Linked DNA regions of Drosophila melanogaster. The protein of the gene in region 1 interacts with the protein of each later gene in a pairwise test. Each region holds a gene or a part of one and is shown in the gene's direction. Other genes may lie near its edges.

Evidence for each region. Proteins that work in one complex are often made in the same cells at the same time.
Region 2: the proteins of RpLP1 (region 1) and RpLP0 interact in binary tests that used the Drosophila melanogaster proteins (3 or more experiments, as listed by UniProt).

Annotation. Positions count from the first base shown.
Region 1 is NT_033779.5:418,425-421,561, forward strand, and holds RpLP1 (ribosomal protein LP1), read left to right. Parts: upstream 1-1,527; 5' UTR 1,528-1,650; coding exon 1,651-1,722; intron 1,723-1,867; coding exon 1,868-2,134; 3' UTR 2,135-2,440; downstream 2,441-3,137. Other genes in the region: CG13690 (uncharacterized protein), read right to left, coding at 133-1,176; CG11885 (uncharacterized protein), read right to left, coding at 2,517-2,942. UniProt on the Drosophila melanogaster protein: Plays an important role in the elongation step of protein synthesis.
Region 2 is NT_037436.4:22,074,332-22,078,197, forward strand, and holds RpLP0 (ribosomal protein LP0), read left to right. Parts: upstream 1-1,535; 5' UTR 1,536-1,595; intron 1,596-1,703; 5' UTR 1,704-1,805; intron 1,806-1,916; 5' UTR 1,917-1,956; coding exon 1,957-2,010; intron 2,011-2,084; coding exon 2,085-2,984; 3' UTR 2,985-3,156; downstream 3,157-3,866. Other genes in the region: CG7133 (uncharacterized protein), read right to left, coding at 1-5; CG7130 (uncharacterized protein), read right to left, coding at 917-1,303. UniProt on the Drosophila melanogaster protein: Ribosomal protein P0 is the functional equivalent of E.coli protein L10.

The DNA of each region.
Region 1 (3,137 bases):
ATCTGTTTTCGTTTTGGGCCTGGGTGTTTTTTGTATTTTAGCATTTTAAAATTTAATACTAAAGTACTTAAATTAAACTTTATTCTTTGTAAATATAGATACTCCTGAACTTAATTTTATTTTCATTTGTTGCTAAAACTCCATGACACTTTCCAGATGGCGTTGCTTAAAGAAGCGGCACTCCTCGCGAATTATTTCGCCGGATTTTGTTGTGCCCTTAAAGAACTTTGTGAGCTTGGTGCCGGCGTACTTGGGCTTCTCGGAATCCGGCTCGTCGAACTCCATGTCATAGGCCTTGTCCGCCAGTGCGTTTTCCGCGGTGGACCAACTGAAGCGCACAAGTCGTGGAAATCCAAACACTAGATCGATGTACTCGGTCAGAAATCTTCTTGTGACCGGATCTCCCGGATATCCACTGCCGAACTCGTTGTCCTTAATGACCAAGCCCTCGGGGAAGCTCCACACCTTGAGGGCATGATCACGGGTAACTTTGGCGCATATACTAGCAGCAGAGACTATTGGATAGGTGGAGTCAGCTTTTTTCGCCACGGTGATTTTAAAGCTGGGGAAACGTTTGAGCAACTTCTCCTGGTACTTCTCCGGCGGACCCACCGTATCCACATAAACCTCGGCTATATTGACGCCCGCATCGATCGCCTGTTGGATAAGGCCCATGGCCGAGTCCATGGAAACTTCGTTCAGGGAGCACTTCGACCGCCGGTACATGCTGGTGCTGATCGTGTTCGGCGATATGATCTCCACGGCCCAGCCAACGCAACTGGTCGCATATTCCTTGGTGTTGATATCGTTAAATATGATATCACGTTTCCCCTCGGTTAGTTGTTTGGAATCGGCGCATCCCAGGTCCTCTAAAGCCTTGTTACTTTCCAGTGGACAGTAGGAGATCCCATATACCATAGGTCCCAGGACGGGACCACGCCCTGCTTCGTCCACGCCCAGCATGCACGGCTTATCCTTGCAAATATCCGGAACATCGCTGAGGTAAACCGTGTTGCGGCTATTCTCCTTGCCGGCTATAAATGGACCCAGGGCCTTCAAGGAGCTTATTTTTCCGCTGTCCTTAAAATCTACATCATCGGGCTCTTCGTCGTTCTCATCAATATTTTCTATACATTTTTTTTCTTTTTTTACAACTACGTCTTCTTGGTCCGACATTTTCGCGCGCTTTTTTTTTGTTTACGTTTAAACGACGCTATGGGCACACTAATTGTATACATAAAGTTGCAGTGTGACTCATTCGTCATTATACCAAAATATCTTTTTTTTAATATTCTCAATAACCGTACGGAAAGGTCTTTTATTAAAATAGAGAGATAAACATATAACCAGAGAATTATGCTAAGGCTTCTGTCCAAGATGCTTAAAAATAAACTAGTTTAAATAAGAGATAATCTCGGCAGTTTGAACGAGTTTTCCTCTACCTAGTATTTCCTGACAATAATATGCAAATTTTCATAGACGGTTGGTATTTTTCTTCGTCATCGGCGCGGTCACACTGCATATCAACTGCTCTTTCCGGTTTAGGATTTTGACCAGCGTGCTTGTTCTCGTCCCGAGCTAAGGCCATTTGTTATAAACAATTAATTTTTGGCAACTTGCACAATCAGTGATTAGCCACAGCACTTCGACATGTCCACCAAAGCCGAGCTCGCCTGCGTCTACGCCTCCCTCATCCTCGTCGATGACGATGTCGCCGTCACCGTAAGTTTTTCGATATTGCAATCGGGGACGAAGCAAATCCTCCAAAGCCGCGGCCATCGGCCGGAAGTATTGGACAATTTGCGGGTCCTATGGTTTCTTTCGCACTGCTGCAACTTGTGCTGATCTTATTTTTTGGATTCACCAGGGTGAGAAGATCAACACCATCCTGAAGGCCGCCAACGTCGAGGTGGAGCCCTACTGGCCCGGTCTCTTCGCCAAGGCCCTGGAGGGCATCAACGTCAAGGACCTGATCACCAACATCGGATCCGGAGTTGGTGCCGCTCCCGCCGGTGGTGCTGCCCCTGCTGCCGCCGCCGCTGCTCCAGCCGCCGAGTCCAAGAAGGAGGAGAAGAAGAAGGAGGAGGAGTCCGACCAGTCTGACGACGACATGGGCTTCGGTCTGTTCGACTAAATCCTCTAGAGAACTTCTCGACAACCGGACATCCGTTGTGTTTGTGCTGTAATCCTCGAGAGGTGGACGTGTACCCGTTTCCCGACCTGCGTACACGTTTTTAATGTACAAATGTGAGGAAATATAGAAGACGTTTGCTAAAAAATTATCGAGACTCATTCCTTTCACAACGGTGCAGAATTATTATGGTTTACTATGTTATTGGTCATTCCACTGCCTTTTTGTGAGTAGATTCTATTTTGGGTTTTTAAGCACATGAAAGAGGTTGCAGTAGAATGGCCAATAATTTGGTCAGCCGGGTTGAAGGCTACGATTAAAATGTTCAAGGTTTTTTTTACAAAAACTGTCACAGCTAATATTTATTGGATATAACGAACGCAGACTAGAATAACGTCTCCTCGAGGACCTTAGCTAGGGCACGAAGATTGGGTCCGTCGATTTTCTTGAGACCCAAGCCCACCACGAACTCCGTCGGGCACTTGTGGAGTCCGGTTCTGTTGACCAGAAACTGTATGGCGCTGCGAGTCTCGTCGGTGTCCAAGCCCAAGCAGCAGTTCATCGTGATTGGCACCGATACGTGGAACTCCGGATTGTCCACGGGTCCGTGCAAATAGGGAACCACTCTTTCGTCCTTTTTGACATCGAAGTGCACGTTGTAGATGCCGGGAATCTTGCCGAGCTGCGTTATGACTAAGAACCACTTCTTGGCAAAGCAGTGGAACACTATCTCCGTGGGAACGCCGTTCACGTCCGCTGAGAACTGCCTGTCGAATCCGATTTGTCGAGGTTTGTTTGCTGTGTGGTTCATTTTTTGAGAGAATTTAAAAGCGTTTAACAATGTTGATATTGTTTACGATGAGACAGCATGAAAAAACGATGAAAAATACATCGATGTTTTATCGATAGTCATTATGCATTGATGTGCTAATATGAAGTGTGGCCGAATGGTTCCGAGTTTCGTGACTCCCGAAGCACGCAGTTCAAACGTTTGCACTGATTTCCT
Region 2 (3,866 bases), on another chromosome or scaffold:
CTCATTTTGGCCAATTGGTCTATTTGATGGGAGAATAATTAGATGATTTTATCGATAGTAGCACGATGGTCAGTGGTTTTTGGTGCAGAAGTCGGTATTTATTGATGTTTATGTTGCGGGATGTAAGGCACTGGGAAAACCTGAGAAAACACTAAAGCTGATTCTTTCATTACAAATAGAGATGCACATCTGAAATGTGTGTTATCTTTGTATGGAAACAACATCGATAAATACATCGTGTCATTTGTCGTGTCATCGTGTCAGCGAAATAATATTCGCGACAAGAACATATTGTTTAAGGAAAATAAATGCGTCTTTCGTTTCTTCATTTGCCATCATATTTTATTGAGAATACGAGTCATTAGGTGGCCAACAGAAACAAAATCTAGAAAAATATGTCTTTTTTTTCAGAACAAACCATTATATTTCCGTCTTATCTGGTACATACCAAAGACACTAGAATATTCTAGTGTTATTCTATTCTATTCTATTATTATTATTCTAGTGTCTTTGTACATACTATATGTAGTAGCAGACTGGCTCTGCTTAGCAACAATTTGTAATAAGCAAGTGCATTTAATTTTCTCTACTATGGCATTGTTATATTTTTTACTATTTGTATCGCATAAACGTTTTTTAAATTAAAAAAAAACAAAACTATTAGTTCGTCTTACAGTATTTATCCGTTTTATCATTCGATTTGGCTAAAGGTATTAGCTATTTTCGAGCAACAGTCGGACGAATTCCATAATTTTTATTTATCTTACTAAATAAATAAATAAATTAATCAATAAGTAACGCAGGATTCATTAGATAAACAGTCAATAATTAAGTTCCTATAAATTAATCTTAAAGACTATTCAGCGAAGAACGCTAGGTACCCGAGATTGCTTCATCAAGCCCTTGGATCCTTAGCTCAGTCCGAGGAGGATCCATCGCCGTGGGTAGCCTCTTTTTTCCGGTTGAAGAACTGGAATGTCTTGTAGGCGGCGAACGCAAAGAGCACGGTTCCTCCGACGGCGCACATGAAGGGGAGCATGTCTGGCGTGGGCTGGGCGAAGGTCGCAGCAGGCTCGTCATCACATTTGAGACCCTCCTCGCCGTGCTGGTCGTATATCTCGCGCTTTTCCTTATCAAAGAGCACTTCGAAGGCGGCCACCACCTCCCTAAACTGCTCCTCGGCCTGCGGATGGTCGTTCTTGTCCGGATGGTAGCGGAGAGCCATCCGGCGGTATCCCTTCTTGACGTCTTCGCTGGACGCATTCCTCTCGATGCCCAGAATCTTGTAGTAATCCTTACCCATTGTGGTGAAATGGTATTCTCCTTGTTCTGGCTGAGATGGTCGTCTAGCGGTGTTGCGCCGTGTATGGAATGTGAGGCAGCGTCTCGACTTGTTGGTGCTTATGTGGTAATGCGAGTATATATTGCTGATTCGATTCGCTGATTTAAAACATTATTACAAATAAACAGTCAATCGATAAATTATCGGCCGCCAGTGGCCAGAGTGACCCTACCTTACCACCAGAAGCACTGTTAGTTAACAGAAGAGATTCTGACGATCGTAGCAGCTGTATAGGAGCACTATTAGCCTATTAGTAATTAATGATCTGTTAAATCTATCTTTTTTGAGTACTTTAAAAGGAATTACACATTTCGAAAATAGAAAATATTCATATCGCTTACCGGTTTTGGTATTTTTTCAGACCGTGCGGTATCTTATTCGCCATCGAAGCGGTCACACTGGGTGCCGCCGCCAACTTCACTCTTTCCGTTCTGTGAGCGAAAACCGAAAAGTCTGTGCTTTGGTAAGTGTTGCTAAAAGTTCGGAATAATGTTGCATCCCGAGCATTTTCGGGTACATAACTGTTCCACGGCGGTGGTCCAGCAAAGACTAATCGTTATCACGCCTTTCGCAGTTCTTAAATTCACCCGACGAGTCCCTAATACACAATTAAAATGGTTAGGGAGAACAAGGCAGCGTGGAAGGCTCAGTACTTCATCAAGGTTGTGGTAAGTATAGAACCTTATAGAATTCGCTCACTAGCTGGCGCCTGGCTTATGCTGTTAACTGATCCCTCCTCCAGGAACTGTTCGATGAGTTCCCAAAGTGCTTCATCGTGGGCGCCGACAACGTGGGCTCCAAGCAGATGCAGAACATCCGTACCAGCCTGCGTGGACTGGCCGTCGTGCTTATGGGCAAGAACACCATGATGCGCAAGGCCATCCGCGGTCATCTGGAGAACAACCCGCAGCTGGAGAAGCTGCTACCCCACATCAAGGGCAACGTGGGATTCGTGTTCACCAAGGGCGATCTCGCCGAGGTGCGCGACAAGCTGCTGGAGTCCAAGGTGCGCGCCCCCGCCCGTCCCGGCGCTATTGCCCCTCTGCACGTCATCATCCCGGCGCAGAACACCGGCTTGGGACCCGAGAAGACCAGTTTCTTCCAGGCCCTGTCCATCCCGACCAAAATTTCCAAGGGAACAATTGAAATCATCAACGATGTGCCCATCCTGAAGCCTGGCGACAAGGTCGGCGCCTCCGAGGCGACACTGCTCAACATGTTGAACATCTCGCCCTTCTCGTACGGTCTGATTGTCAACCAGGTCTACGACTCCGGCTCGATCTTTTCGCCGGAGATCCTGGACATCAAGCCCGAGGATCTGCGCGCCAAGTTCCAACAGGGAGTGGCCAACTTGGCCGCCGTTTGTTTGTCCGTGGGCTACCCCACCATCGCCTCGGCCCCGCACAGCATTGCCAACGGATTCAAGAATCTGCTGGCCATTGCTGCCACCACCGAGGTGGAGTTCAAGGAGGCGACCACCATCAAGGAGTACATCAAGGACCCCAGCAAGTTCGCCGCAGCTGCTTCGGCTTCGGCTGCCCCCGCGGCCGGCGGAGCTACCGAGAAGAAGGAGGAGGCCAAGAAGCCCGAGTCCGAATCAGAGGAGGAGGACGATGATATGGGTTTCGGTCTGTTCGACTAAGCTGGATCCCGATTGCAGAATGCCCTCTGCGGCGCCCGCGAACCATCGCTTCCGCTTTCGGCGTTTACCCACTAAGACCCTTTGTTATGTTTTCTATGTGCAAATTATTGCCGCGGTTTGACGGACCCAATGGCGAGTTGCATTAAACATGCTGTAAACTGCTCGAAAGCGCACTCAACTGTCTTTTAAACTTGCACTCGAATCGGGATAGGTGGACATGGTGGGATTAGGACTCCAAAATCCAAAGGCTTCCCACTTTTCTTCATTTCCCTTTAAATATCCGAGCGACGGCAGGTACCGCCTGCAGCTGCTCCCGGTCATCCGGATATTTACAAAGTAATTACTTGCGATAAAATGAATTTCACAAGATGAGAAAAGTTTAAAGTTTCTGCTGCCGTTGTCGGCTGCGACTTTTGCGATTTCTTTTGCTTTTCGCAAAGGACATCGTCGACGGAGGAGAGACGCTCATAAAAATTCAATTTGTCTTGACAAAATACGCAAGAAATTAAGAATGTGCCAAGTGGCGGCAAAAGAAACTTTCCTTCCCTTTTTCCCAGTTTCCTGCACATTTCTTGCTCTGCTCGTCTGGCGAGCGAAAATGAGTTACGCGACTGGGGCGTGAAAGTGCCACGCCCTCGCGGCGATGTGTCGCGCCTGGAGTGCTCAAGGGGGGGGGGGTGGCGGAAGGGTGGTCAGGAGATGGGAGCTGGGGAAGCAGTAGCCGCGGGCCAAGTTAAACACTGCATAAATAGCCGGACCGAAATGAAAAGCCCTGACGAAAATAAATCCTCCGCAGGCCTCTTTGGACCTCAGAGATGGGATCGTGAGCCACCTCGGAAGTAGTTGGGTCGTGTCATAGGTTATCCTATAAGATTATACCCT